3 linked regions of the Callithrix jacchus genome follow. The protein of the gene in region 1 interacts with the protein of each later gene in a pairwise test. Links are inferred from orthologs where the notes say so. Each region holds a gene or a part of one and is shown in the gene's direction. Other genes may lie near its edges. The genes, in order: COPS5, GFER and MAP2K2.

Evidence for each region.
Region 2: the proteins of COPS5 (region 1) and GFER interact in a two-hybrid assay, tested with the Homo sapiens proteins (2 studies listed by BioGRID). The link is inferred for Callithrix jacchus from reciprocal best matches to the Homo sapiens genes COPS5 and GFER.
Region 3: the proteins of COPS5 (region 1) and MAP2K2 interact in a two-hybrid assay, tested with the Homo sapiens proteins (2 studies listed by BioGRID and IntAct). The link is inferred for Callithrix jacchus from reciprocal best matches to the Homo sapiens genes COPS5 and MAP2K2.

What each region holds. Positions count from the first base shown.
Region 1 is NC_133517.1:22,934,372-22,944,532, reverse strand, and holds the start of COPS5 (COP9 signalosome complex subunit 5), read left to right. Parts: upstream 1-152; 5' UTR 153-286; coding exon 287-429; exon of another isoform or gene 430-516; intron 517-2,838; coding exon 2,839-3,073; intron 3,074-5,102; coding exon 5,103-5,231; intron 5,232-5,878; coding exon 5,879-5,944; intron 5,945-6,631; coding exon 6,632-6,717; intron 6,718-10,161. UniProt on the Homo sapiens protein: Probable protease subunit of the COP9 signalosome complex (CSN), a complex involved in various cellular and developmental processes.
Region 2 is NC_133513.1:4,760,373-4,771,099, reverse strand, and holds GFER (FAD-linked sulfhydryl oxidase ALR), read left to right. Parts: upstream 1-5,632; 5' UTR 5,633-5,650; coding exon 5,651-5,911; intron 5,912-6,167; coding exon 6,168-6,364; exon of another isoform or gene 6,365-7,242; coding exon 7,243-7,405; 3' UTR 7,406-8,055; downstream 8,056-10,727. Other genes in the region: NOXO1 (NADPH oxidase organizer 1), read right to left, coding at 1-31, 278-391, 485-666, 856-1,011, 1,157-1,232, 1,435-1,515, 1,610-1,701, 2,520-2,681 and 1 more; uncharacterized protein LOC144578555, read right to left, coding at 9,051-9,094, 10,062-10,111.
Region 3 is NC_133523.1:3,841,524-3,851,684, reverse strand, and holds part of MAP2K2 (dual specificity mitogen-activated protein kinase kinase 2), read left to right. Parts: intron 1-3,373; coding exon 3,374-3,451; intron 3,452-4,549; coding exon 4,550-4,601; intron 4,602-4,686; coding exon 4,687-4,811; intron 4,812-6,141; coding exon 6,142-6,355; intron 6,356-8,209; coding exon 8,210-8,274; intron 8,275-10,161. UniProt on the Homo sapiens protein: Catalyzes the concomitant phosphorylation of a threonine and a tyrosine residue in a Thr-Glu-Tyr sequence located in MAP kinases. Activates the ERK1 and ERK2 MAP kinases.

The sequences.
Region 1 (10,161 bases):
ACATACAATTTCCCGAGTCCAGATGTTCTCATTTAAACCACAAGAAGATTTGTCTCTCCCTATTAGTGTAAATACTGTTTTTATCGTCACGTCCCGGAAAGACCCCTGTCTTCTCTGAATGGTCTGTACTAACTGCACCTCCGGTTCTAGGTGTCATGGCTGCCCCAAGAGTCTAGTTAAGAGTTTGCTCCCGTGGGGCGGAGGGTCCAAGGCCCACACCAGGAGACCTAGCGAGGTAAAGTTGTCCCTTGGTTGTGGATACGACAGCTTCTCCGTTTCCTCGGCGATGGCGGCGTCCGGGAGCGGTATGGCCCAGAAAACCTGGGAATTGGCCAACAACATGCAGGAAGCTCAGAGTATCGATGAAATCTACAAATACGACAAGAAGCAGCAGCAAGAAATCCTGGCGGCGAAGCCCTGGACTAAGGAGTGAGGAGGTCCCTGGCGAGACGCAGGGGAGGGAAGGGGTGGCGGGAGTTTAAGAGACCCGGAGGGAATGGGAGTTGAAAGGGTTCTGAAGAGCTTTCACCGACGGGGAGGGGGACAGAATAGGCGCTTTGGATTTGCAAGTAGAGTCTAAGCCCTCCTCTGGGGCTTTGACTCCCTTTTTTGTCGCTTTAACCCATTTGTCCCCGGATGATGTCAAGGGAGAACAACAAGCGGTGATTTAAATTGTTGCTTCTGAACATTCGTATTGTCATATATGCCCCACACACTGCCTTGAACCCAGTATCGGCATGCACCTTGTTTGGGTCTTCTACCCCAAACTGGGGACTGCAGCTGTTTGCAGAAATCGAGTCAGCAGCCCAAGGTCTCAAAAATAGCTATGAACTATTTTATTTTATATTTTTTAAATAGAGATGGGTCCTCGCTGTGTTGCTCAGGCTGGTCTCTAGCTCCTGGCTTCAAGCGATCCTTTCCCCTTGGCCTTCCAAAGTGGTGGGATTACAAGCATCAGGCCTGGGCCTATAATAGTTTTTCGATTGCTGGTAATTATTTAGGAGACACACGGAGGCTCTACCTGGTCTCTAAAATGTTACTCCACCAGTCCCCATAAACCAAATATTATAAAACTAGAGCTTAAGGCTCTTTGCCCTTTAGCAATATCCATTTTTCCCTGGGAGTGGTGACAAGTCAAGGGATCTTTACCCATATTTTCTTTTTCCTGAGAGCAGTGTTTGGGAGAAAGTAAAAAGAGCACAAAAGCTAATGGATAGATAGAAAGGAGAGATGTGGTCAAAAAGAAGACCTACTTCTACTGCTTCAGTTTTTTTTTTACAGGGCTAGCCTTGCCTTTCAGTACTCAGACGAGATCAGGTGCGTTCAGGGTGTTACGGCCGTAGACGTCTCTCAGTATTCAGATTCCACAGTGGTGAATTGTGGAGGCACCTAGCTAGAGATTTCCACCTCATTTAATCTTGATGACAACCCAGTACAGTATATCTATCCTTTTTTTTACAAATTAAAAGAAAAAACAAGCAAATGCATTATGTAACTTATGGTCACACTGAGATAAGTGAACTCCTAACTGAGCATTAGTCAGACCTAAGATCAAATCTCACACTATCACTAACTAGTTAATTGACCTTAGGAAATTTACTTATCCATCTTCAATTATCGTAACATGTAAATAAGACCTACCTATTGGTGTTGTCATAAAGATGAGATAATGTATAAAAAGAGTCCTCTAAAATATATGTAAGAGGAGCATAGTAATTTGTCTTTCTTCGTTTCTCCAGTAAAGGGAGAAGCCAAGATTTCGATTCATGTTTTGACTTCCAACATGAAGTCTACACATTTTTCAGCTTTCGGTTGAAATCTGGCAAAGCTTAGGAATTAAATTTGGATTCTTTCTGTGGGCAGACATCTAAAAAAACTTTGTAGATACGTTGACTGACTGCTCTCTATGGCTGATTAAGTTGCTTGGTTGTCTTCTTTCTGTAGCAGGCTGCATTTTAGGTTGATGTACTCTTAAATATTTAGAAACAGCCTGCCTCACTGTCTAATTATGACTCTAATTATATTCATCCTAGCTATCTTGGACTGCATCAATGAGACAAAAATGTACTTTTATTCAAGAGTTTAATTTACTGATGACAAATTCTGAAATAGTGATCATAGGAAACTATAATCTTAGAGCTACTTTTTAATTTGAGGCTGACATACAGGGAATCCCACCCTTCAACACACTGTTCTTTGAGAATAGGATTAAAAGACAGGTTAATAATTAATAATGCTAATGACAGCTAGCACTTACTAGGTTTCTAGTATGTGTAAAGCACTAAGCTAAGCACTTTATATACATTTCATTTACTTTATTTCATCATAACAACTACTGTGAATATCCCTATTTACAGAAAAGGAAACCTTGGCACAGATATTACATGGTTGTCCCAATGCCACAGCTAGGGAATGCGGTGTCAAGATTCAAACCTCGGCAGATGAATGTCAGAACTCACATCCTTAACCATTAGGCTAGAGGTTAGGCCTGAAAACAGTTAGGCACGACTATCCAAGCAGTCAGAATCCAAGATTGGGTGATTCTAAATTAATGGAGAAAAAAATTGAACTGGTCCTATTATTCCCTTATTTGAATAGCACATTTTAAAAAACTATTTCACACTTTTCCCCTCCCCCAAGGATGATATGTTACAAGACTATAACATGCTTGTTTCCACCCTGCAGAAATTTTCCTTTTCAACTTTTTCTCCCCATAGTCTACACTCCCCTTCCATCACTGTATATTCCTTCAATACTTACTCTTTATCTTCAGAAATACTTTATTCTGAATTGTGCTTTATATAAGAAATTTAATTGCATCGTGATTTTGTTTTGTAGTCACCATTACTTTAAGTACTGCAAAATCTCAGCATTGGCTCTACTGAAGATGGTGATGCACGCCAGATCAGGAGGCAACTTAGAAGTGATGGGTCTGATGCTAGGAAAGGTGGATGGTGAAACCATGATCATTATGGACAGTTTTGCTTTGCCTGTGGAGGGCACTGAAACCCGAGTAAATGCACAGGCTGCTGCATATGAGTACATGGCCGCATATATAGAAAATGCTAAACAGGTAAAAATGTTGTTTCTTACAATTTATTAATTGCAAATTAGAGTCTCAAGGTGACTTTTGAGTTTTTAGACTTAAAATTATCCCCTTTACATTAAATTTTAATGATTTCTATGTAAAATATATGAGATTAAAAGCCTGATAAGATTTATAGCATGGGGTTTTTTTTATTTGTTTTTTGTGGGGTTTTGTTGTTGTTGTTGTTTTCAAGACAGGGACTTGCTCTGTTGCACAGGCTGGAGTGCAATGGCATGATCTCAGCTCACTGCAGCCTCCGCCTCCTGTGCTCAAGCAATTCTCCAACCTCATCCTCCTGAGTAGCTGGGGTTATAGGTGTGCACTAGCACACTTGGATAATTTTTGTATTTTTAGTAGAGACGGATTTTGCCATGTTGGCCAGGCTAGTCTTGAACTCCTGACCTCAAGTGATCTGCCCACATTGGCCTGCCAAAGTGCTAGGATTACAGGCATGAGGCACCGTGCCCTTCCATAATTTTTGTATATTTATTTTATTTATTTATTTATTTTTGAGACTGAGTCTTGCTCTGCTGCCAGGCTGGAGTGCAGTGGCGCAATCTCGGCTCCCTGCAACCTCCACCTCCTGGGTTCAAGCGATTCTTCTGCCTCAGCCTCCCAAGTAGCTGGGACTACAGGCACATGCCACCACACCCAGCTAATTTTTGTATTTTTAGTAGAGACAGGGTTTCATCATGGCGAGGATGGTCTCGATCTCTTGACCTCATGATCCACCCACCTCCGCCTCCCAAAGTGCTGGGATTACAGGCGTGAGCCACCATGCCCGGCCCAATTTTTGTATTTTTAGTAGAGATAGGTTTTCTCTGTATTGGCCAGTCTGGTCCCGAACTCCTGGCGTCAAGTGATCCACCCACCTCAGCCTCCCAAAGTGCTGGGATTACAGGCATGAGCCACTGCACCCAGTCTGTAGCATGGATTTTATTTATTTTTTTCAAATAAACTCTCACACTTATTATAAAAATTTGGGCTGGGCACAGTGCCTCACACCTGTAATCCTGGTACTTTGGGAGGGCAAGATGGGCAGATCACGAGGTCAGGATTTGGGGACCATCCTGGCCGTGCTGAAACCTCCTCCCTACTGAAAATACAAAAAAATTAGCTGGACATGGTGGCGGGTGCCTATAATCCCAGCTACTTGGGAGTCTGAGGCAGGAGAATCACTTGAACCCAGGAGGTAGAGATTGCAGTGAACCGAGATCATGCCATTGCACTCCACCCTGGTCAACAGGATCGAAAGTCTGTCTCAAAAAACAAACACACACACACAATTAGAAACAACCTAACTCAGTTCCTGAGTGTAAAACTGGTTAAATAAATTATGTATATCCATCAATGGACTGCTAGGCAGCCTTTAAAAGAAATAAAAGGTAACTGAGGCTGGGAACGGTGGCTCATGCCTGTAATCCCAGCACTTTGGGAGGCCAAGATGGGTGGATCTCAAGGTCAGGAGTTCAAGACCAGCTTGACCAACATGGTGAAACCCCGTCTCTACTAAAAATACAAAAAAATGAGCCGGACGTGGTGATATGTACCTGCAATCCCAGCTACTCAGGAGGCTGAGGCAGGAAAATCACTTGAACCTGGGAGGCGGAGGTTGCAGTGAGCCAAGATTGCACCACCACACTCCAGCCTGGGTGACAGGCTTTTTTCTCAGAAAAAAAAGATTACACTCATATATATTGATAACTTACATGGAGCAAACTCCCAAGTTTATTGAGTGAAGAAGCAAAGCGTAAAACACTATTATGTTATGTGGTATGCTATTGTGTGTGTGTATGTTTTTATCAATCTTTATATGTGCAAACAATATTCTGTATGCAAAGAATATATCTGTAAGGGGAAGCAATTGCCTGTAGATTTCACATCTGGGCTGAGAAAACTAAGTAGTTGAGGAGAAAGAGATGGGAAGGATACTGGTTACCCTTATTGTACTAGATAGAACCTTGTAAATTAGTTAAACAGTAATCTTAAACTTTTTTGCCCCTTTATTTGTTAGGTTGGTCGCCTTGAAAATGCAATTGGGTGGTATCATAGCCACCCTGGCTATGGCTGCTGGCTTTCTGGGATTGATGTTAGTACTCAGATGCTCAATCAGCAGTTCCAGGAACCATTTGTAGCAGTGGTGGTAAGAATTTTAAACTAGTTTAATTATGTTCTTTGTGAAGATTTGCTGAAGCAAGTATACTGAGAAATAAGAACAGTGTGGTAAAGAAAAATTGCTCTGGTGTCAGACTGCCTAGGTTTGAATGTGAATTCCATCTCTTAGAAGCTAGGACTTTAAGCAAGTTATTTAACCACTGTGCTTCTCACTTCCCCCACTCTGTAAAATGTGGGTTGTCATAGCATCTATGGCTCAGTGCCAGCTCATCATAGGCATTCAATCAGTGTTGACTGAACTGAGTTAAGTGGGAATTGCTAGAGCAGCTCTTGTTATGCTCAGGGCATTTTAAATGCAATCCAGGTTTCTATGAAAAAGGTAGGAATTATTCACCTATTAAAAGGAAAAAATAAAACTTTAAAAAATAGATGTGCAAACCTTTAAATAACATTCGTAAATGTTTTAATAATGAATTCTGATCTCTAAGTTAACTGTGAGACACTTATATATACCCCCTTACTGAACTTTTATGGTTTTTTTGGTTTGTTTATTCTTATTTGGTTATTGTGTATATATATATATAGTATTATATGTATGTATACATTTATAGGTTTATAATGTTTAAAAGGCATACAGTTTTATATCAGCAAATATTAAATACATCTTTCTTGTAGATTGATCCAACAAGAACGATATCTGCAGGGAAAGTGAATCTTGGCGCCTTTAGGACATACCCAAAGGTAACTCTTTTTTTTTTTTTTTTTTTTAAAGAGAGTCTCACTCTGTTGTCCAGGCTGGAGTGCAGTGGCTATTCACAGGCACGATCATAGTGTATTACAGCCTCCATCTTCTAGGCTCAAGCTATCCTGCCAACTCAGCCTCCCAAATAGCTGGGACTATAGGAAGTCTCTATATTTTTTAAATTCCAAATATTTGACTTATTGTTAAAGACATTAGCAATAGCTCTTTTTGTTAAAACAATTTAATAATATTTATGTCCCTAGCAAAGAGTAATAACATTTATGTTCTATATTGTTAATTTTACTGGGAAAGCAGTCTTTATTTATTAGTAAGTACCTGTGCTCCTGTGGCAATCTGGCAGGTACTAGAAAACAAACTAAATCTGCAGGTCTATTTCATTCCCTGGCAGGAGTCTGCAATCTGAAATAGTTATTAGAACAAAAGTACATCACCTAAGAAGAAGAAAAATAAATCTATGAGCCAAATCCAGCCTACAGCCATCAAACAGGGTGGAGGGAAAAGTAGAAACAGTATTTTTTTTTATTAGAATGCTTATATTAAATGTTTACCTCCCAAAATTGATCCTATATTTATAAAGCTGCATAAAAATCATGATGTTCCCCCATACACACACACACACACACACACACACATATAAATCTTCTGTTTTCTTCATTTTTGTTTAGGGCTACAAACCTCCTGATGAAGGACCTTCTGAGTACCAGACTATCCCACTTAATAAAATAGAAGACTTTGGTGTACACTGCAAACAGTAAGTAATTTAAAAACATATCTGGGCCAGGCACAGTGGCTCACACCTATAATCCCAGCACTTTGGGAGGGCAAGGTGGGCAGATCACGAGGTCAAGAGATTGAGACCATCCTAGCCAACATGGTGAAACCCCGTCTCTCCTAAAAATACAAAAAATTAGCTGGACGTGGGGCCGCGCACCTGTAGTCCCAGTTACTCGGGAGGCTGAGGTAGGAGGATCACTTGAACCCAGGAGGCGGAGGATGCAATGAGCCGAGACCATGCCACTGCACTCTGGCTTGGTGACGGACTGAGACTCTGTCTCAGAAAAAAAATGTTTTCGGCCGGGCACGGTGGCTCAAGCCTGTAATCCCAGCACTTTGGGAGGCCGAGGCGGTGGATCATGAGGTCAAGAGATCAAGACCATCCTGGTCAACATGGTGAAACCCCGTCTCTACTCAAAATACAAAAAATTAGCTGGGCGTGGTGGCACGTGCCTGTAATCCCAGCTACTCGGGAGGCTGAGGCAGGAGAATTGCCTGAACCCAGGAGGCGGAGGTTGCAGTGAGCCGAGATCGCGCCATTGCACTCCAGTCTGGGTAGCAAGAGCGAAACTCCATCTCAAAAAAAAAAAAAAAGATAAAAAGAAAAAAAAATGTTTTCAAAGTTAGCCAGATGATGTGGCATAGTCCTAGTACTAGCAATCAGGAGGCTGAAAGAAACCTTAGATATCAGCTAGTCTAAGCTCATTATTTTACAGATCAGAAAAAAGTCTCAGACAAAATGCATTTTGTGATACCTTTTACAATAATAATAAAAGTATATGAATTTAGGTGAATGTTTGCATTTTTAATTTTTCTCTTTTGCATTTTTTATTAATGTTTCAATCTAGTATGTCATTTGCCTTTCACACAACCTAAACATTTTTTCAATGTACAAGATACTTAGCCTATATAAAATTATAACAAGTGAAAGATGGGTTCAGGGCTAGCTGACACTAGCATGTCTGCAGCCCTCAAAATATATAATTTCCACTGAACAAAGATTCTAATTTTTTAAATATTTGAAAAATTTAAGAAGCCATAGTAAAAAGTTAAAGTTATAAAGTTTAAGAATTCTTACTAAAAATACTGAATTACATACCTTCCCCCCACCCCCAACCTGAGACATAGCCTTGCTCTGTTGTCCAGGCTGCAGTGCAGTGGCGCAATCTTCGTGGCTCACTGCAGCCTCCACCTCCTGGGTTCAAGCAATTCTCCTGCCTCAGCCTCTTGAGTAGCTGGGATTACAGGCACGTGCTACCACAGCCAGCTAATTTTTGTATTTTTAGCAGAGACGGAGTTTCACCATGTTGGCCTGGCTGGTCTAAAATTCCTGACCTCATGATCCACCTGCCTTGGCCTCCCAAAGTGCTGGGATTACAGGTGTGAGCCACCATGCCCAGCCTACATACCTTTTTCAATGGTGAATTTTATGATGTCTGAATTATATCTTAATTTTTTTTTTATGTTAAGCCAGTGGAGACAATTTTCTGTATCTTCTAAATATATCTCACCACTTCTCTTACTATCACATTCACCCAAGCCACTGCCATCTGGAGCCTCAATCAAGCACACTTGCCTTCTGGCAAGTCTTTCTGCTTTTGCCCTTCACTTCTTGTGTGTATGTATGTATGTATGTATGTATGTATGTATGTATTTATTTTTGAGATGGAGTTTTGCTCTTGTTATCCAGACTGGAATGTAATGGTGCGATTCCGGCTCATCACAACCTCTGCCTCCAAGTTCAAGAGATTCTCCTGCCTCGGCCTCCCAAGTAGCTGGGATTACAGACATACACCACCATGCCTGGCTTATTTTGTATTTTTAGTAGAGACTGGGTTTCTCCATGTTGGTCAGGCTGGTCTCAAACTCCCAACCTCAGGTGATCTACCCACCTTGGCCTCCCATAGTGCTGGGATTACAGGCATGATCCACTGTGCATGGCCTGCCCTTCACTTACTAAAGGTCTGTTTTCAGCCAGACTGATTCTGTTAAGATTTAAGTCAGATCATATTCTTCCGTTTCAGAATGACTTCCCATCTCACCAAGAACAAGATCCTTAGTCCTTATCACAGACTACACAGCCTTCTGTGGTCTGGCTCCTACAACCTCTGTGAACTCATCTCTTGTCACTGAACTTTTGCTGATCTTCGATCCAGCCATATTGACTTCCTTATGGTTTGTCAAATGTGCCACCAGGCTCCTGGCTCAGGGCCCTGACACTTGCTGTTCCCTTTGCCTAGAGCGTTCTCCCTTATTTCCATGTGGCTCGCTAACTAAGCATTGAGTATCTGTTTGCAGGGTCATCATAATAGAAAATGTTCATAAGTCACCCTATGGAAAATAACACCTTCTGTTTCCTCTTTCCCTACTTTTTCTTCTTAGCACTTGCAACCATCTGATGTTTTTGCTTCTTTTTTTTTTTTTTTTTTTGACCCCTTTAGAATGTGAACTGCGTATCCTTGCGTTTAAAACAGGGCATGGCACACAGCAGAGTAGGCACCAAAAAAATTACTGCTTAAATGAATAAGTGATTATCTAGTGCCCCCTTTTCTCTATACCACTTATTGTAACTTCAAAGAATACTTTGGCTACCCATGTGCTGCTACTGCACTTATTTTTCTATTTAGAGATTCTTAGAAAATTCTAGAATTTCTAAAATTGAAATTTTAATTATATGTGGTTTTCAGTAATCTCTGACTTATTTCTGTAAATACAATGATCTTTTCTTCCTTTTTGGTTCGTGTTTTTTTATTCGAGGCAGAGTCTCACTAGGTTGCTCAAGGACTACAAGCACACTACCATGCCCAACTAAACAAATATATATTCACATAGAGATTTAGTGTTCATTATTTAATTTGCCCTATTAAAAAGAATTTAAATAATTCCTGTTTGAGAGAATTGCTCCTAAGCCTGGAAACACCTTTGCTGTGATACTTTAATCTTCAGAGGAACTCTCAATTATTTTTTATTTGAGTTATAGTGGTATCAAAGATTTATCCTTTGAAACAAAAAAGATTGAAATGCTTTATGTTTTCTGTATTCGAGCAGATCTACTGTCCCCATTTGTCTATTCTGTTGGTTTATCCTTTCTTTCTTAAATAACATTTTTTTAAAGATCTTGTTGCATACCATGCATTAAATAACTTTCTTTTGGCAAATACCTTCCCTTGCCACTCTGAACTATGAGTCTACCAAAGAGGGGGCAGCTAGTTTTCTAGCTGGGATTATGGAATTACAGGCATGAGCCACCGTGCCCATCCTGATGTCTTTATGTTTTATTTAATTTATTCTGCTTAATTCATTATATTTCTTCATTGCTAAAATTTAATCAGTAAGCATTCTTGCACTTTGGATCTGAGGTGGGTGCATCACTTGAGGTCAGGAGTTCGAGACCAGCCTGGATAACATGGTGAAACCTCAT
Region 2 (10,727 bases), on another chromosome or scaffold:
TCGTAGGCGCGGGAAGCACAGAACTGGGGACCTGGGGGTGGATGTTTGGGGTCACCATGGGGCCGTAGAGGACAGGGCCCTCACCCTTCTCCGGATTCTCCTGGCCTGAGTCTGCTGACGCCGGGACTGCCCTAAAACTCAGGGCTTCCTCTAGGTTCAGTGACCAAGCATGGGCTCCTGGGCCCCATCAAGCCGCCCTTCCCGCAGTGCTTCTGACCCAGTTTGCCGCGTGGTCCAGCTGTACTGATGGCATGAGGGGTGGGGATTAGGCACATACCACTGCTCCCTAGGGACGGGCCTCCTTCCCAGCCCTGGCCTGCAGCCACCTCCTCCAAGTAGGGCGCTGGAAACCAAGCTGTCTGCTGGTCCTTGTTCTCCACCAGCCACCAGCCTGTGCACAAGAGGTGGGTGGGGACTCAGATCTTGAGGCTCCCTGGTGTCCAGGGGCAGAGAGGCAAGTCCCTGGGTTCTTGGCGGGCCCTACCTGAGGGGTGCCTCAGCAGCACATCCAGGCTCTCCTGGGCCTGCACCTGGAAAGGCCGGTCCCGTGTGTCCTGAGTGCAGAAGGACTGTAGGCAGCGCAGGCTTTGAGCCTCCAGACTGTGGATGGAGAGGCGGCCGGCAGCACGGGAGAGAGGTGGCTCCGGGTTGGGCAGGATCACCCGGCTGGGAAGAGCAGCCCGCACGGGTGAGAGGTAGGTAGATTCCAAGGTGAAACTAGGCGTGCCACACAACCCCAGCAAGACCGCCAGCCTCCTAGTTTCTGCTGCTCTTCACTGGCTATAACCCCCACCTTAGACCTCCTCCCAGCTCCAAACGCTGCTGCAGGCTGGGAGTTGGGGGCGAGTCAGGTACCTGCCGGGTGGCAGTGCGGGCTCCAGGTCCAGAGGTTGCGGTGCAAAGAAGTCTGTGATCACTGGGCTCCGAGCCACGCGCTCTGCAGTTGCCAGCAGCCTCCGAGAATAGGTTTCCAGCAGCTGCAGGCGTGCCAGGCCGCGGCTCGTGCGCCCCCTGTGTGTCAATAGCGGTGCATCTAAGGACACCACAAAAAACGTACACTGAGACCCCGCTTCGGGCTTCACTGGTCCCTTGAGCCACACCCCCCACCCCCAGTAAGCCACCGCCTTCCCTGTCCCCGGCCCCAGGCTGGCCTGACCGAGAAGCTTTGGGAGAATGCGGTCGGATTTCCGAAGCAGGCCTGCCTCCACCGGAAAGGTCTCCTTGAGGTTCTTCTGAGGGCAAGAACCGGGGCATCAGTCTCCCAGAGCCCACTGTGCACCCTTAGGAGGGTGGGGTCCCTCACCCTGATGGCAAGGGCTGGGAGCCTCAGGCAGGATGAAGGGCCTCCAGTTAGTCACTGACAGGTCTTGCACTGGTAGGCACCCAGGTGGGGAAGCCTCAAGCATGGCGTTAGGGTGGCCCAGGGTCACTCACCTTGAGCCGCCTGAATTCCTCCCAGCTCCTGCACACAAAGGTGTCGCTGCCGTCTGACCATCGCACGGAGAAGGCAAATGTCTAGGGGACGTAAAGTCATGGGTGCCTTGGAGATGCTGACGGAGGCACCCCCTTCCTATGCCTTAGGGCCACTAAAGACGCAGCCAAGTCTTACTTGGAGCCTCTTGATCTGCACCAGAGCCGCCCCTCGCACTGAATCCGGGTATCGGGGGCCTGCCATGGCTGCGGGCTTCAGGCTGCAGAGTCCTGAAATACTGGGTAAGGATTCCTCTGCCTCCCTGTGCTCCAGAGGGCTCTGGGGCACCTAGGAACCTGGCTGCCTGGGACAGAAGCCTGTAGGGTCCTTGTGGGGCTGCCCCAGCTGAGTTCTTTCCAGCTTTCTTGCTGTCTCCCAAGCCCAAGATCTGGGAACGGTAGCACAGGGATTGGGGAACTTCCAGGCAGAGCTGCTAGGAGGAAGAATGAGCGTCCTGGCCCTAGAGGCGTGCAAGACTAAGGGGCAGAGGGTGGGAGGAACTGCTGCCTGGGGCCCTCCTGCCTGACTCTGGCCAAGGGAGGAGGGAGGAGAAGGCGGGGCCCATCAAAATGCCACCAGTCCTGCCCACCTCTCTGGATTCCCCCACCTTGCAAGGTACTTGGCCTGGTATGACCTTCTGCCAGCGTGTGCCCAACAACTGTCTTAGAACTGGCCCGGGGATTTCTGTGCAGAACCGAGGACTCAGTGCTCAAGGCTTTAAGTGCTCTGTCTGGCTTAATCCTAATGCTGGAGGAAAGGCCTCTTCATGTCCCCAGCTCACAGAGGAGGAAATGTGAGCTAAATGTATAATTATTGTGAGTTTTTCTGTATATGTTGGGGGAGGGGCAGACCTCACAGGCTCACCCCAGGGGTTCCCCTGCAGTGAGGAGACTTGGGGTAAGAGAAAGACGGCCCATGTGTATAGTCCCTGGCACTTGAGGGGTGAGGGGTGGTCAGGGAAGTGGTCACCAGGACTGTTTTGAGAGCCACCTCTCAAACAGACCTCCTGCAAACACCGCCTAGTCAGAGGCTTGCCCAGGTGCCACACCTCTCTGGCTGCTTCCTTATAGCTTCAGAAGCCACATTCAACCTCGGTACACAGTGGTTCTTCCTGGTGCTGGAGTCACCAGTTCTGTGTTGGGATGCCCCCACTCCAGCCCCTTCAGGGAGCGGTCGGCCTCTGGGGCATCCCTGCAGCAATCTGCCTTGGCTGCAACAAAGGGCCTTTGTGTGTGTGTCACCAGCACTCTCTGAGGCCCTCCAGTTGTCCCTGGTCTTGGCACGGACTAAGAACACCTGCTCACATAGGGCTGATTTGCAGGGCTCCCCCAGCCAGCTCTCATCTCCTCCCTATCTCAGCTGAGGGCCCCAAGGACCTGGCGGTGAATCAACCCAGGGCAGACTTTGCTCTCCTGGAAGACAGTAGAGAAGCTAGGGAGAATTTATTCACAAGCAGTGGCCTAGAGGAATTCTGAGGCCCCTCCACACCCCAGCTGACACAGCCTGCCCCACACCGCATCGGCCCTGGATCCTTCCCGCTTTTTTTTTTTTTTTTTTTGAGACGGAGTTTCGCTCTTGTTACCCAGGCTGGAGTGCAATGGCGCGATCTCGGCTCACTGCAACCTCCGCCTCCTGGGTTCAGGCAATTCTCCTGCCTCAGCCTCCTGAGTAGCTGGGATTACAGGCACGCGCCACCATGCCCAGCTAATTTTTTGTATTTTTAGTGGAGACGGGGTTTCACCATGTTGACCAGGATGGTCTCGATCTCTTGACCTTGTGATCCACCCGCCTCGGCCTCCCAAAGTGCTGGGATTACAGGCTTGAGCCACCGCGCCCGGCCCCTTCCCGCTTTTTCCTCTCCTACCCTCTTTTCTTACCGGAATGGTACAACCACCCCACCCTCCATCCATATCCTCCTCACTTGTTCCCACAAAATCCACCCCAAGGTCGGGTTTGGTGCCTCTCACCTGTAATCCAAGCACTTTAGGAATCCAAGGCGGGGGAACTGCTTGAGCTCAGGAGACCAGTCTGGGCAACATGGTGAGACCTCCATCTGTACCAAAAAATATATACAAAAATTAGCTGGGTGTGGTGGCACGTGCCAGTAGTCCCAGCTATTTGGGGAGTTGAGGTGGGAAGATCACGAGCCTAAGCAGTCGAGACTGTAGTGAACCATGATTGTGCCATTGCACTCCAGCCTGGGGAACAGAGCAGGACCCTACCAGAAGAAAGAAAAGAGAAAGAAGGAAGGAAGGGGGAAGGAAAGAAAGAAGGGAAGGAAGGAAAAGAAAAGAGAAAAATCCACTCTCTGTAAGAAAGAAAGAAATCTAAAGAAATGCACTCCTTGTATAATAGCCAGAGGAATTTTCAGCAAACTGAAATGGGATCGGATTGGGTGGCCTTGCCCAAAACTGACTGGCATCTTCCCCTCCCTTGGAATAAATTCCCAATCCCCGCAGCTGCTGACCAGGTCCTTGATGGGCCCACTGGCCTTTTTTGTTCCTGCAAAACGCCAAGACCCTGCCACCTTGAGCTTGGTCTTTTTTTTTTTTTTTTTGAGACGGAGTTTCGCTCGTTACCCAGGCTGAAGTGCAATGGCGTGACCTCGGCTCACCGCAAACTCCGCCTTCTGGGTTCAAGCAATTCTCCTGCCTCAGCCTCCCGAGTAGCTGGGACGACAGGCGTGCGCCACCAGGCCCAGCTAATGAGCTTGGTCTTAAAGGCGCTCCTCAGCTGATTCCTCATCCTTCAGGCCTCTGCCCAAGGGTCACCACCTCAAGGAGGCCTTCCAGATTTACCCCACCCTTGCACGGCCCCACCAGTTTGTACGGGAACATTCACGAGCGTGACTCGTTTTCCCCCCCCGCCCCCCCATCTTGACCACTGAATTATGAACAGAGGAGATCAGGCAGCAGAGCTCTGTTCCCTGCACTGCCCAGCGCCTGGAACAGCGCCTGGAGCAGAGAGGCCACTGCACAAATAATAGCGTAAAGGACGAATGAAAGCAAGGAGGCAGAGGAATCCCAGAGGTGGCTCCAACTGGGAGCCCGACCCCTCATTCGGGCCGTGGGACCGGCGGCAGCTGGGGGCGCGCCGAGAGCCAGAGGCTCTCAAACCCTCGGCAGCCGCGCCCCGTCCCGCGTTGCCAGGCGCCCGTTGCCATGGCGCCGGGGCGAGGCCGCGAGCCCAGCACTCTGTGCGGTCACGCCGGCCCCGCATTGCCAGGGTTCCCAGCACCCGGCGGGTGGACGCGCCCCTCAGCGGAGGGCACAGCGTGGCCGCGGACACGCAGGACGCTCAGAACGGAGCGATGGGGGCGTCGCGGGTCGCGACACGTACTTCGTCTGGGCCTCAGCCCAGGTCCACAGCATGGCCGCGGCGCACCTTCCGCCACACTCTGCTGTTCTACCCGAGGAGGCGAGAGCGCCGCCACGGACTGCGCAAACCCGCCGCGGGTCGCGGAGCGCCCGGATGCTCCAGCTCCGTCCCCTCCCAGGTCGGCGCCGCGGTCTGTGGCTCCGCCTCCACCCGGGTCCGCTGGCCGGCCCCCGCCCCCAGCCCTCGCTCAGGCCCGGCCCCCGCCTCCGACCCCGCCCCCAGCCCTCGTTCGGGCCCGGCCCCCGCCTCCGACTCCGCCCCCAGCCCTCGCTCAGGCCCGGCCCCCGCCTCCGACCCCGCCCCCAGCCCTCGCTCAGGCCCGGCCCCCGCCTCCGACTCCGCCCCCAGCCCTCGCTCGGGCCCGGCCCCCGCCCCCAGCCCTCGCTCGGGCCCGGCCCCCGCCTCCGACTCCGCCCCAGCCCTCGCTCAGGCCCGGCCCCCGCCTCCGACTCCGCCCCCAGCCCTCGCTCGGGCCCGGCCCCCGCCTCCGACCCCGCCCCCAGCCCTCGCTCAGGCCCGGCCCCCGCCTCCGACCCCGCCCCCAGCCCTCGCTCGGGCCCGGCCCCCGCCTCCGACCCCGCCCCCAGCCCTCGCTCGGGCCCGGCCCCCGCCTCCGACCCCGCCCCCAGCCCTCGCTCGGGCCCGGCCCCCGCCTCCGACTCCGCCCCCAGCCCTCGCTCGGGCCCGGCCCCCTCGAGCACGGCGCGCGCCTCCCGCTGGTATTTTCGCACGCTGGCCTGGAGGCCGACCTGGAGGCTCATCTGGAGGCCGAGCTAGCCCGGCAGACCTTGCGCGGGCAACATGGCGGCGCCCGGCGAGCGGGGCCGCTTCTATAGCGGGAACTACTTCTTCTTGCCCGGTGGCGCGCGCTCCGAAGTGATAGACGACCTGGCTACCGACGCACGGGGCCGGGGAGCGGGGCGGAGAGACGCGGCTGAGAGGTCAGCCCCGACGCCAGCCCAGGCGCCGACCTCCGAGTCTCAGGTCACCGAGGACGTCTCCCGGAGGCGGCCTTGCCGGGCCTGCGTGGACTTCAAGACGTGGATGCGGACGCAGCAGAAGGTGCAGATCCCTGCCCGACCTCCCCCAACCCCGCGCAGCCCCCGCCCAGGTGCCCCGGCAGAGCTCCCCAGGGTTGCCTTTCCCTGAACCTTGTCCCCCAGTTAGGTCCGGCCCTACAGGCATCATCTGCGTTTGGGCTGGATCGTCTGCAGGACGCTGGCCGGAGTCCACTGGGCCACCGGCTGGGCCGTGCAAGGGGGGAGCTTTGGGCGCTTCTGTTCGGAGAATGAACTCACTCTCGGTCGGCCTTCCGCAGCAGGACAGCAAATTTAGGGAGGACTGCCCGCCGGATCGCGAGGAACTGGGCCGCCACAGCTGGGCTGTCCTCCACACCCTGGCCGCCTACTACCCCGACCTGCCCACCCCAGAACAGCAGCAAGACATGGCCCAGTTCATACATTTATTTTCCAAGTTTTATCCCTGTGAGGAGTGTGCTGAAGACCTAAGGAAAAGGTAAGATGCGTTGGCAGGCATCAGAGCTTTACCCTGGAGCCTGGGCCTGGGGCTCCTGACTGACGCTATACCGGGGAACCTAGAGAAACCTGCAGAGGTGGCAGAAGCTTGCTGGGGAGCAGGGACCACCAACAGGTGAGGACAGAGGCTATCTGAGCCTCCTCCTCTTGTCTGAGGCCAAGCTGCCAGGATTTGCTGCTGGGAACTGCTCTCCCACGGCCACAGGTCTCCCAGGAAGGGCCTCCCTGCCTTGTTTGGCACCAAAGGCAGCTCCCCGCAGGTTAGGGAGGACTCCACTTTGCCTGACTTCTAGACTGCTGTTTTAAAATCTTGGAAACCCACTACTTTTGCTCCCAAGAGCCACCTCTTCCTCACTGAGGCATCCAAGAGCCAGAACTGGCCCTTGCAGGTGTTTCTAGGCCAGATGTGTGGGGCAGAGCTGCCATTGTAGCTTTCAGCCTGGGCAGTCAGAATGAGGTCTCTTGCTGACTGAGGCATCAGAGCCTCAGGTCCTAAGAATCAAGTCCAGTTTTCAGTTACAAGGCTGTGTCCAGCCCCACCCAGTTCACACTCTGCCTGGGGCCAGGGACACTAGATGCCGCCTCCTGGGTGTTAGGAGCTTGTAAAATTGCTAGGTCTGTGCTGTAATATTTTTCTTTGAGGCCCTGTCGGTGTTTCAGCAGCCCTGGGAATTTGCCACACCCAAGGAGCTGAAGGGTCAGGCCTGTTGTGGGAATTCCCATCCCTTGGAGCATGAGGGCACTCCGAGGTGAAGCCCAGAGCAGTGGCCCAGCTCTCCGTCCTTGGGAGCAGACAGAGCTGGCAGGGGTAGTGGAGCCGCTGCGTCCTCCCATTCTTCACATGCTCTCCCTACGCAGGCTGTGCAGGAACCAGCCAGACACCCGCACCCGGGCATGCTTCACGCAGTGGCTGTGCCACCTGCACAATGAGGTGAACCGCAAGCTGGGCAAGCCTGACTTTGACTGCTCAAAAGTGGATGAGCGCTGGCGTGACGGCTGGAAGGATGGCTCCTGTGACTAGAGGCTGGTCAGCCAGAGCCCATGGGACAGCCAGCCAGTGCCCTTGCAGTAGCCTGGCTGCATAGGGGCAGGGCACTCATTAAAGTGCATCAGGCTCAGAGCCTGTTATGTCTCAGTTGAGTGGTCCCAGGACACTGCCCGGGGGGCCCTGCCCCTCTCAGGTTTGGAACAGAGAGGCACCCACAGCAGGCACCTGCTGGCCGCCTCTTCAGTAGAGCCCCCAAGGAGCAGCAGCTGAACTGCAGGTGAGCGAGGCCGGAGGAGCCTGGGCTGCTCCTTGCCATTCAGGATGTGGCTTCCTGCTCTCCCCATGCCCTGGTGCCTCACTTCTCACACAGGAAGACTGGGCCTGGCTGGGCGACCCCATGCCTGTCCCTGGAGCCCAGGCCATTGCCTACCCACTGTGCAGCCAGGGATGCCCGCAGGCCCCTGCCCCCCATGGCTCTGTGCTGCTCACTTCATGGGCTGAACTCTCCACTGTGCTCAGTCCCTACAGGAAAGCTCAGGTGGGGTTTGTCTGAGGGTCCACCATCCTGCCCACTCCCTGCCTGGCTCATGCCTGCCAGCGTTGTGCCATGCCTGTCCACAGGGGATTTGTGCTGTCCCCTTCTTCAAAGTTTGAGGTCCAAATAAAACATTGAAGTGACTGAGGACCTTGGCTTTGTGTGCTTTGTGCTAGGGCCTGTAGCAGTGCACGGGGCCTGCTCTGTCCTTCTGTGTTCAGCTGCATTTCCTGCTGGGGTCCTGGTTCCTCAGGAGGAAAGGGAGGAACCCCAAGGTGAGAGAGGGCCGGGAACAGCAAGGACGCTGGTTGGTTGGGGAAGTGGGGGCCAGAATCAATGATACGGGGGTTCGAGGAGTACAGGGAGGCCAGACAGCATGAGGCCTCCCAGGCCCCAGAAAGGCCATGGCTTTTACCCCCAGCTCTTGTGACAGTAGGTTCTTGGCGGGTTTGGAGCCAGGGTATGGCAGGAAGTGATGTGGCTTTGAAGGGTCCTCTGGCTGCTGAGCTGGGATGAGGCAGGCAAGGGTGGAGCAGGGAGGCTGGCGAGGAAGCTGGAGCAATCACTGAGTGACCCCAGAGAGCAGACTTACCTCATGTTGGGGCTGACGTGGGGTCCACCGAGGGGAGAGTCTGAGAATGCTCAGGTGAGGATGGAGTCCTCAGAGACTGCTGGGCACAGCTGTGTGTGCTGGAGACAGAAAAGGCTATGAGTGCAGTGAGTAGGGGGTGACGGGGACCAGCTTTTGGGCCTCCCCAGCCAGAGCAGCCCAGCAACAGTGTCTCTTGTGGCTTAAAGCTCTAGGGACCTCTATCCTGAGGCCTGTGTGGAGGGAGCTGCCATATCACCCACCAGATTGGTCCTGCGGGGTTGCTGGCTTCTGTAGAGACTGCCCCGGGGGCCAAGTGGCACAAATGAGAGAAAGGAGATGGGGCTCTGCCAGGAGAGAAAGTGCCCTTTCCTCACCCAGACTCAGTGCTTCTCTCTGGCCTTTTTCGAGGCCTATGAGTGCCTCAGGAACAAGCCGGGTCCTCTGGTGAGGCTGTGGTCAGCTCAGGAACGCACTGCCTGTATCTGCTGTCCTTCCTAGCTGCCTTACTTTTCCCCTGTCTTTCTTGAAGTTTCACTCCCAAATAAAACTCTTCACTTTGACTCAGAGGCTGTTGAGGGCATCCAGGCCAGTGGAACTGAAATTCAAGGAAAGGTTCTAGCTCAAGCTAGTGTTCCAGAGCTGTTGACACACAGACCAGAAGAGTCAGCACAGAGGGAGGAGAGACCCCCCCCCAACCACCACCAGGGTCAAGCCCTGGGCTCCTAAGGCTCACAGGTTACAGAGGAGAGGCCCATGAGGTAGGAGGAGCACCAGGAGGGAGGAGGATCTCCAGGTGGGGTGCAATGGCTCACATCTGTAATCCCAGCACTTTGGAAAGCCAAGGTGGGCAGGTCACTTAAGGTCAGGAGTTAGAGCACAGCCTGGCAAAACCAAAATTAAAAATATTTTTTAAAATTAGCCAGGCACGGTGGCATGCCTGTAATCCCAGCCACTCCAGAGGCTGAGGCAGAAGCATCACTTGAGCCTCTGAGGCAAAGGTTGTGCAGTCTTGAGCCAAGATTGAGCCACTGCACTCCAGCCTGGGTGACAGTGCAACTCTGTCTCAAAAGAAAAACTGAGCTGACAGCAGCATCAGACTTGCCCTTGGGATTGGCACGGAGAGGTCAGTGGCAGCCTTGAGTTTAGGTGGTGGTGGGAGCTGATTCTGCCGGGTCTCAGAGGGAGAGAGGAGGGGTGGTGCAGGCAGAGAATAGAAGACTCAAGCTTGCTGCTCATAACTGCGGGCAGCTGGAGGGGAGGGAGGTGGGGTCAATAGTGTGGCTTTTTAGGAGAAAGTGTAGCATGTCTGCGTGCTGATGTAAAAAGGAAAATGAATGACAGAGGGGAGGCCTGGGGCCAGTGGGTGAGACAGTCGGGATCAGACGCACAGTAGATGGATTTGAAATCCAGTGAGTGGCGCCTCTGGCAACAGCTGCTCTGCCCGACTGTGCCCAGCCTGACTGAAGAAAGAGCTCCACACCAGAACCAATGGGCTCCAGGGGGGCTGGGCAAGGCGGCACCATGTACACCAGGTTGTCGTAGCAGGCAGGTGGGCTGTTTACCTGTCTGAAGAACAGGGTGGTAACAGACTCTGCCTCCACAGGTGACGCACCTGGTGGTGTAAATGCTCAGTCAGTGCAGACATCTCAATGCTCTAGACAGAAACCTAAGAGTCATCTGAACTTCCAGCCCAGCAGGAACATGAGGGGAGGGACCCTGTTGCACCCAGGGCTGGGGTCTGGAGGGGACCCAGCAGGGCACAGGACAGCCAGGCACTGACCCCATCCAACTGCTGGTCTCTGATGCCTCTCCCTGCCCTCGATTCCAGACTAGGTGCTGCAAGTGCCCTAGGGAGACCCAGAAGTAGGGAGGGCATTGGGAGCGCCAGCACCTGGCCACGGGCAAGGAGCAGACACATAAAAACCAACACTCTCATTGGCGATGGCCACGGTGGTCCTCCTCATCCCTCAACAGGTGCTCCTGGGGTGGAGGCCTTTCTTGCCACCAGACTCTCCCAGCCCAAGGCTAGAACCTGCTGAAGGACCAGCTAGAGCACTGTGGGGGGCCATGGGAAAGATCCCAGTTGCCCATCTGGTCTTCCTGGGACCAGGGCCAGGGAGCCAGTCCCCTCTCCCGACGGTTGGGAGAAGATGCTGGAGCCCGTGGACCTCCTACTCCTTCATTTTCTCACCCAAGGGCCCTTCGCAGAGGAGCGGGTTCCTTTTCCT
Region 3 (10,161 bases), on another chromosome or scaffold:
TTTTAAACTCTGGCTGGGCAAACAAGCCTTTATTTTTTCTGAGATGGAGTCTTGCTCTCTTGCCCAGGCTGGAGCGCAATGGTGCAATCTCGGCTCACTGCAACCTCCGCCTCCCGGGTTCAAGCAATTCTCCTGCCTCAGCCTCTCGTGTAGCTGCAGTTATAGGTGTGCGTTACCACACCCTACTCATTTTCATATTTTTAGTAGAGTCGGAATTTCACCATGTTGGCCAGGCTGGTTTTGAACTCCTGACCTCAGGTAATCTGCTTGGCCTTCCAAAGTGCTGGGATTACAGGTGTGAGCCACCGCACCTGGCCTGCAAGCACACCTCTAATCCCAGTGCTTTGGGAGGATCTCATGAGCCCAGTAGGTCGAGGCTGCAGTGAGCGATGACTGAGCCACTGCTCTTCATCCTGGGCACCAGAGTGAGCCCCGGGTCTCAAAAACGAAATAAAGTCTGTATTTCCAAATGCACAGCTAGATCTTCGGGCCAGGTAGAATGGCTCACTCCTGTAATCCCAGCACTTTGGGAGGCTGAAGCAGGAGGACCTTTGGAACCCAGAGTTTGAGAGCAGCCTAGGCAATGTGAAGAACCCCTATCTCTATAAAAAAATCAGTGGGAATTGGCCGGGCGCGGTGGCTCACGCCTGTAATCCCAGCACTTTGGGAGGCCGAGGCGGGTGGATCACGACGTCAGGAGATCGAGACCATCCTGGTCAACATGGTGAAACCCCGTCTCTACTCAAAATACAAAAAATTAGCTGGGCATGGTGGTGCCTGCCTGTAATCCCAGCTACTCAGGAGACTGAGGCAGGAGAATTGCCTGAACCCAGGAGGCGGAGGTTGTGGTGAGCCGAGATCGCGCCATTGCACTCCAGCCTGGGCAACAAGAGCGAAACTCCGTCTCAAAAAAAAAAAAAAAAATCAGTGGGACATGGTGGTGCACCTGCAGTTCCAGCTACTTGGGAGGCTGAGGTGGGAGGATCACCTGAACCCAGGAGGTCGAGATTGCACTGAGCCAAGATCACACCACTGTGCTGCAGTCTGGACAACTCCTGTCAGAGAGAAAGAGAGAGACAGACAGACAGAGAGAAAGAAGGAAAGGAAGGAAGGAAAAGAAGAGAGAGCGAGATGCTCTGAGCATTCTGAGTCTCACTTCCGGGGAGAACAGTGGAAGTGATGATGGGGGATCTGGGTTATTGATCAACATTTGAGGGTTTGGTTTTGTTTTTTTTTTTTGAGACGGAGTCTCGCTCTGTTGCCCAGGCTGGAGTGCAGTGGCGCAATCTCGGCTCACTGCGACCTCCGCCTCCCGGGTTCAAGCGATTCTCCTGCCTCAGCCTCCCGAGTAGCTGGGATTACAGGCACGCGCCACCACACCGGCTAGTTTTTTGTATTTTTTAGTAGTAACGGGGTTTCACTATGTTGACCAGGCTGGTCTCGAACTCCTGACCTAAGATGATCTGCCCGCTTCAGCCTCCCTGAGTACTGGGAGTACAGGCATCAGCCACTGTACCCGGCCTACATTTGAGTTTTTTATAAGACAAATGTGTTCATATACTACCTGCATAACAAAATTACAATTACAAGAACATTTTCTTTTTTTTTTTTTGAGACGGAGTTTCGCTCTTGTTACCCAGGCTGGAGTGCAATGGCGCGATCTCGGCTCACCGCAACCTCCGCCTCCTGGGTTCAGGCAATTCTCCTGCCTCAGCCTCCCGAGTAGCTGGGATTACAGGCACGCGCCACCATGCCCAGCTGATTTTTTGTATTTTTAGTAGAGACGGAGTTTCACCATGTTGACCGAGATGGTCTCGATCTCTTGACCTCGTGATCTACCCACCTCAGCCTCCCAAAGTGCTGGGATTACAGGCTTGAGCCACCGCACCCGGCCTAAAATAATTATTTTAAGGTTGATTGATAAAAACCGAGAATAGAAGCAGCTTCCCCCTGGCCCTGGCTCGCCGGGGTCCTAGCCCTGGTCCTAGGCTGTCTGAGGCCCCGCCACAGCCACCCCTCAGCCTCTGTGTCTGTGTCTTCAGTCTGGAGCTGGTGGATGGAGTCATGTGTGTGCTCGAGAGACCTCAAAGCATGTTGGGTTTTCCAGAACTTCCTTCAGCCTTTCTCTCCGAGCCCAGCCGGGCAGAAGTGGCCAGAGAGCAGCGACCCGGGCGTTCCTTAGTCTGGGATTTCTCCCCTGCCTCCTCACCACGTGAATGAAAGCCGTCCCTGGGAAGGCTGGGCACTGTGGGAGTCCTGGAGCAGCGTTGGGGAGAAATCCTGGTGCCTCCTGCCCACCTCTAGGCTCCCCCCGCCCACCTCTCCAGCCCCAGTTCCCCTTTCCTCTCTGCTCAGTGCGGAAGAGACACACGCCAGGCATGTGGCAGTGGAAACTCGGCTTGTCCCCGCCTTCTGTCATGGGGGTGGCCTGGCAGGTGTGTCCAGAGCCTCTACCTTTGAGGAGGCACCTCAGGTGGCCCCAGGGCCTGGGGTTTTGGTGTTCAGGGGCTTTGGTCCCCAGGTTTGTTGCCCGGCAGCCTTGGGGAATTTCTGTTCCCTTGTTTGTGACTTGGATATGGGGCCACACCCAGGGACCAGTCCACCCGGGCAGACTTGTCTCCAGGCTCTCCGCAGGATGCCCAGCACAGGCTGTGGGAGGGGCTGAGGTGACCATCACCTGGGCTGGCCTCACTGGGGTCCCTCCTGCAGTCCACGCACCCCACCGGCACCCGGTCACACTTAGCCTGGCCTTTCCACCCTAGACGGCAGGGACAGGCACAGAGCAGGCGCCCAGAAGTGGAGCCGCAGGGCTCAGCTAGGGAGCCCTGTGGGCATCTGGACAGGCACACGCTAACCTGCTGCCTCCTCCTATGTGGGGCAGCGCCCAAGTCTCCTCCATGCCCTCATGTTCCCCTTCCCTTCACATGCTGGGAAGAGGACCCAGGCCCCAGAAGCTGGTTTCCAGCCCGGCTGCCTCCCATGCCGCTCACACAAGCCCAGTGTGCAGGCTGCAGGGAGTGCCGGCCCCACAGCTGGCTGAGCCCCGGCCAGGACTCGGGCTGGACCCGGAGCAGAGCCTCTGCCCCGGCGACCTCAGGAGGTCAGAGTTACGCAACTGATTCTGGGATGGGTCGGCAGGCGGGGGCCCCCTGGGCCCTGTTCCTTCCCCACCTCTGGGGGTGGGTGTGCCGACTGAAGGCAGAACTGTCGAAAGCCCCCCAGCCCTTGGCCAGTGGGCGGAGTTGGGCTCTGGCCTCTGCTTCCAGTCAGGGGCAGACCACCCCCTCACCTGGAGTTGGGGATGCGTCCGTGGCTTCCCTGGCTTCCCGGCCACCTGTGCAGAGCCTGCACTCTCTGCCTTTGTGCCCTCTAGGATGGCGGCTCCCTGGACCAGGTGCTGAAAGAGGCCAAGAGGATTCCCGAGGAGATCCTGGGGAAAGTCAGCATTGCGGTCAGTCCCTGGCAGACCCGCCTCGCGACCCCACCCACACCCTGCGCAGACCACCCCGCACGGCCAGGCTTCCAGGACCCACTCACCGTGTGCTGGGAGTTAGGGTGGCCCCTGTGGAAAGACAGTGGCCAAGGCTGCAGCCACCCCCTGTGGAGCTTGAACAAGTGACATCCCTTTTGGGGCCTGAGGTCGCCATCTGCCGAATGGAGATGTGAGGTCCCTCCTCTCTCTTAGCATTCTGTTTGCCATGCTGGTCCCTTCTTGCCCTCGTGGCAGAGGGATGCTGGCGGCTGGCACGTTGCAGGGGACGGGAACTTGTTGAAGGGGAAACCCTAGGGTGGGAGGTGGGACACCAGGACCTCCAGACACACTCCCCGCTTGCTGTTAGAACTGCCACCTGACCAAGCCACAGGGCGGGGCGGGGGGGGGGCTTCTCTGCTGCTGGGTCTCCAGCACAGCCACTCCGCAGAGCCTTGAGGTCTCAGAAGACTGCACGTGTTTCTTCTAGAAGCTTAGGCCTTGCCCATTGCAGGCGAGTCTGGCCTGACTGTAGCGGTGTTGGGAGGGAGGGAGTGCGCCGCAGGCCACCTGCTGCCAGACGCGGCGTTTCACTGCCGTCAGCGCCACCCCTGTTGCTTGTTTCACTTCTCGGGATATTCCTTCCAGGGTGGGCCTGGGGGAAACGGCGCCCTTCCCAGGCACCCTTACCCCACCCCATCTGGGGGCCCTTAGCACAGTCCCTGGGACCCCAGATGCATGACAGATGCGGCTCTTCTGGCTGGTGTGGGCGGACTCGACAGCCTGTCTACTCCCAGGCCGTGGCCACTGCCCCAGCTTCTGTGGGGCTCAGCCTCGAGGTCTGATTCGGAGGCAGTAATGGCGTCACCACCCTACAGCCGGGTGGGAACCGGGCTTCACTCGCACACACCGGCACGGCCCTCCGAATTGTCTTGTCTCTGCCCTGGCTGGCTCCGCCCCAGCAAGCTCAGCACAGCCTGAAACAGGGTTCCCGCCTCGGGTCCCTTGCTCCAGCTCTGGCTGCTCAGGAGTCAGGCCCCGGTGGCCTTGTCCCGTGACCCCCTCGGCACTCCCCTGCAGGTGCTCCGGGGCTTGGCGTACCTCCGAGAGAAGCACCAGATCATGCACCGAGGTAAGACCCAGCCCGCCCACCCCAGAGCCCCGCGGGCCGGCGGGCAGCTGTCAGGCGCCTCTCACCTGCAGCCTGCCCCTGCCAGATGTGAAGCCTTCCAACATCCTGGTGAACTCCAGAGGGGAGATCAAGCTGTGCGACTTTGGGGTGAGCGGGCAGCTCATCGACTCCATGGCCAACTCCTTCGTGGGGACACGCTCCTACATGGCTGTGAGTCCCCCAGCTCTCCTGCCTCCCACAGGCTTGCCCAGCTCCTTGGCGCCCCGGGATGTTCCCGCCCAGCCACACCCACCCTCCCATCAACTCTCCCCACTTGCCACAAGGCTTCCCTAAAGCCGGTGCCTCCTGGAACCCGCTTGTCGGATTCCCCTGCTCTGTATGTTTTATCTGTATTACCTACGCTGCTCATGAACTCCTCGGCTTAAGTGACCCTCTTGCCTCGGCCTGCCAAAGTGCTGGGATCCCACCAGCACCGAGCCACCGCGCGCTGCCAGATTTCCCCTTCCTGTTGGAATTCTCTCGTAGCTTTTTGTCACTAGCAGTGCCTACCAGGTTTCTTTTTTTTTTTTGAGACAGTCTTGCTCTGTCGCCCAGTGCAGTGTCGCTGGAGTGCAGTGGCGCGAGAGCCTCCGCCTCTCGGGTTTAAGCAATTCTTCTGCCTTGGCCTCCCAAGCAGCTGGGACTACAGACACGCGCCACCACACCTGGCTAATGTTTGTATTTTTAGTAGAGACAGGATTTCACCATTTGGCCAGGCTGGTCTCAAACTCCTGACCTCAGATGATCCACCCGCCTCACCCTCCTAAAGTGCTGGGATTACAAGCATGAGCCACCTCACCCAGCCCCTTTCTTTTTTTTCTTTTTTATTTGTTTTTGTTTTTTTGAAACAGAGTCTTACCCTGTTGCCCAGGCTGCCGTGGTGTAATCTCGACTCACTGCAACCTCCATCTCCTGGGTTCAAGAGATTCTCCTGCCTCAGCCTCCTGAGTAGCTGGGACTACAGGCACCTAAGCCCAGCTAATTTTTTGTATTTTTAGCAGAAACGGGGTTTCACCATGTTGGCCAGGATGGCCTTGATCTCCTGACCTGGTGATCCTCCTGCCTCGGCCTCTCAAAGTGCTGGGATTACAGGCGTGAGCCACCGCGCCCGGCCTGGACTCTCGGGTCTTTGAGGAAATGACTGGGGATTCCGCAGTCTGCCCAGCTGAGCCTCAGAGCAGGTCTGAGACGTCAGCGTGGAGAAGGAGCCCTTCTTCCTGGGCCCGTTGTCCATTTCTGAAAGCACAGAGCACGGCGGGCTCTTCGGGAGCTGCGGCCAGCACCCGCTCCAGGCCTGAGGCTGGAGGCTCTTCAGCTGCCGGCGGCCCCGGGTGGGTGAGCTGGGAGGTGGAATCACTAAGGCTTCCCCATCGCTGCGGTTGTTAGCCATGGACAGGGTGACTGGGCCTGGAACGGGCCCAGCCTGCCCTGCCACCCAGCCCCCTCCGGTTCCAGCTGCCATCCCGCCCCTCTGGCTGTCTTCTTCCCGCCTCTGCTGCAGCCGGAGCGGTTGCAGGGCACGCACTACTCCGTGCAGTCGGACATCTGGAGCATGGGCCTGTCCCTGGTGGAGCTGGCCATCGGGAGGTACCCCATCCCCCCGCCTGACGCCAAGGAGCTGGAGGCCATCTTTGGTCGGCCCGTGGTCGACGGAGCAGAAGGAGAGCCTCACAGCATCTCACCTCGGCCGAGACCCCCTGGGCGCCCCATGAGCGGTACGGCCTGAGTCTGCCACTTCCGGTCTGGACAGACAGTACCCTGCTCGGGGCCTGCTGTGCCGGGACAAGCAGCTGCCTCCCCTCTGGCCCCTGTTGCACCACCTGTCCCCCTGGACAGTGCCGACTGCGGTCAGCAGTCCTCAGATGGTCCTGGTGTTTCCGGGGACAGAGCTGGAAGCAGCGAGCACCCCAGACCTGTTCTGCCCGGGGCAGCTGCACCTGTCCTTGCCAGCTGGAGGGATCTGGGCACGTGGTTCTGCCGCCTGGGGCCTGGGCCCTTGCATTTTCCAACATTTTCTCCTGAAAGCACTCAAACAGACAAAGGTAGAAGGCGTTGGCCACCACAGAGCGCAGACCCTGCAGGTGACACACGCTCCTGTGTGCGGCCCAAGCCTTCCAGGGAGCCCCAGAGTGGACAGCTGACTTGGCATGTCCCTCGGTGGCCTGCTGCCTCCAGCCCCAACACACGCAGGAGGGAATGCAGCCTGGGAGGGGGTGGGAGGGCACAGACCCTGGGGACAGCTGGGCTTGCAGAGGACAATCCAGTGCTTAGGGTGGGCACCTTGGAGCAGGAGTTTCATGTCCCCAGCCAGACATGTCCGAGTGGACACTTGCACCACCTGAGGGGGAGCAGGGGAGTGGACCCATTTCCAGCACAGAATCACAGGAGGGTCCTGTGATTTTTTTTTTCTTTTTTAAGTCAGACATTAGGGAGAGTTAGTGAGTTAGACCCACAAAGGACTACAGTTGGTTTTAAAACCTCATTTCTGAACTAGAAAGCTCATACCCCTCACAACTCACTCATTTCAGGTGAGCAGTTCAGCAGTTTCCATTCACACAGTGCTGCACCCCACCATCTCCAATTCCAGAACCTTCTCAGCGCCCCATCCCCATCCGCCATCACTCTGCATCCCCTTCCTGCCTCTGTGGACTGGCCTGTTCTGGGCATTGCACAGAAATGGGGTCACACACTGTGTGGCCTTCTGGGTTTTACGTGTGGCTTCTCTCCCTGAGCGCAGTGTCCTCAATCCACGCCATGGGGGGTGTCATGGCCTGGCTCTTTTTGAGAGGCCGTAACACAGATGGGCCACGTTTTGTGGTCCGTCCACCCTGGATGGACACTGGGGCTGTAAGAAGGTGATTTTCACAGCACTGGCAAGCCCACTTCTTCCCCTGCAGCCAGACTGCTGTGAAGTCTTGATCTAATCCCAGGGAGACTCCCCGGGTGCTAGTCCTCAGGCCTGGCCCCGGCCCCTCCCAGGTGGTATACGGGGCCCCTTCCACGCCTGCCAGCCCCGCCCCCAGCCCATGGCCCCAGCCCGCTTGCCCATTTTGCGACAGGAGCAGAAGGCGAAAGTCCAGCAGCCAAACCCAGGCCTGGCCGGCTGGTTCTCAGACAGGGGTCAGCCACCCCCAGCCAGTCTCCTGTTCTGAGTGGCGTTCGGGGCCTGCCGCCATCACCACCGGCAGCTCCTTGCAAGGTCACACTGCTGTCCTTGCCTGCGGTCAGCGCCGTCCCTCCCCCTGCCCGCCAGGGAGCAGGGGTGATGACTTTGGCATGGCTGGCAAACCTCACCGAGCCAAATGTGTGACTTCTCAGAAAATGTTCATGTTCCTTTTGGCTTTTTCTTTTTAATTCACTAGAGGCTCAGGTGAGAAGTAGCTGTCCCAGGGAATGGAGGCCAGAGACAGGCCAGGGAGCTTCATCTCCGGCCTCTGCACACCGGCCTCCGATTTCAGCTGGCATGGGGAGGGGGGCGCTCGGCGGTGATCAGCCCCCTTGGAGCCCAACCCCCAGCAGATACACGGTGGCCACCAGCCCATCTCACGTCCATCTCTGTCCCCATGCAGGTCACGGGATGGACAGCCGACCTGCCATGGCCATCTTTGAACTGCTGGACTATATTGTGAATGAGGTTTGTGCGCCACGCCCTTTCGCTTCTCTTTTCTTTTTTTTGTTGTTTGTTTTTTAAGGCAGAGTGTTGCTCTGACTGGAGTGTGGTGGTGCAATCTCTGCTCACTGACCTCCACTTTGCAGGCTCATGTGAGCCTCCCGTCTCAGCCTCCCGGGCAGCTGGGATTACAGGGGCACACCACCACACCCAGCTTTTTTTTTTTTTTTTTTGAGATGGAGTCTCGCTCTGTTGCCCAGGCTGAAGGGCAGTGGCCTGATCTTGGCTCACTGGAACCTTCACCTCCCGGTTCAAGTGATCCTCCTGTGTCAGGCTCCCAAGGAGCTGTACCCTCCTAAGGGATTACAGGCAGGGATTCCCACCACAGCCGCTAATTTTTTGGTTTTTTTGAGACAGAGTTTCACTCTTGTTGCCCAGGCTGGAGTGCAATGGCATGATCTCGGCTAACCGCAACGTCCGCCTCCCGGGTTCAAGCAATTCTCCTGCCTCAGCCTCCCCAGTAGCTGGGATCACAGGCATGTGCCACCAAGCCCGGCTAATTTTGTATTTTTAGTAGAGACAGAGTTTCTCCAGGCTGGTCTCAAACTTCTGACCTCAGGTGATCCGCCCACCTCGGCCTTCCAAAGTGCTGGGATTACAGGCATGAGCCACTGCGCCCAGCCTAATTTTTGTATTTTTAGGAGAGGCAGGGTTTTACCCTGTTGGTCAGGCTGGTCTCAAACTCCATCCTCAGGTGATCCACCCGACTCACCCCCCGAAATGCTGGGATTAAGTCATGAGCCACAGCACCTAACATTTTCTTTTCTGTTTTTTTTTATTTTATTTTAAAGATGAGGGGTCTGGGTACATTGGCCAGGTTGGTCCTGAACTCTTGGCCTCAAGCAGTGCTCCCACCTCAGCCTCCCAAAGTGCTGGGATGACAGGTGTGAGCCACTACACCCGGCCGCTTCTTTTCTTAAGAGATTATCTCACTCTTGCCCAGGCTGGAGTGGAGTGGTACAGTCAGCTCACCGCAGCCTCCACCTACCAGGATTAAGTGACCCTTGCTTCTCAGCCTCCCAAGTAGCTGGGACCACAGGCACAAGCCACCATGCCTGGGTAACTTTTTAATTTTTTTGTAGAGACGGGATAATGCTATGTTGCCCAGGCAACAGGTTTGGTCTCGAACTCCTAGACTCAAGCAATCCTCCGACTTGCCTCAGCTTCCCTAGGGGGTTCGGATGGCAGGTGTGAGCCACTGTGCCTGGCTGGTATTTCTTTTATGAGTGAAGTTAATCATTCCTGCCAGAATCCAGCACTAAAAAACAGACACAGCAAACTCGACTGGGTTTTGCTGGGGAGGGTGGGTGGACAGAGCCAGTCCCAGGTGCACCACGCCTCCTGCCTTCCCCATGCGGCACAAGCCAGCTCCTCCCCAAGCACTGCTTTTTATAAGACGAACCCAGAATTCTCACCACAGCCTCTCACCCTGAGTCCAGAGGGAAGCACGTGCCAGCAGCCCTGGGCTCAGGCCGAGGAGCCAAGCTGCCCCTTGAACGGTGGCCCAGTGTCTGCATCAGAGCATCCTGGAGCCTGTGGGCATGGACTATAAATCACCCTGCTTCCTCGGAGAAAGGTACAGGCATGGCCCTTGCCTCTTGGAAGGAGGCCCAGAGGGCCTAGAAGAACCTATAGGTCCCTAAAACCACTGGTGAGCAGTAGTACGAGCGTTTCCACTGCCCAGATGAGTAAACCAAGGCACAAGGAGGGGCGTGGTCTCCTTCCAGGCCTGCAGCTGTCAGGGAGGCACGAGACTGGACCCCAAAGCCCTGTTGACCATATGCCCAGGGCAGGCTACCCCCTGGACCTTCTGTGGGCTTCTGTGTGGCCCTTTGGAGCTGGGGCAGACAA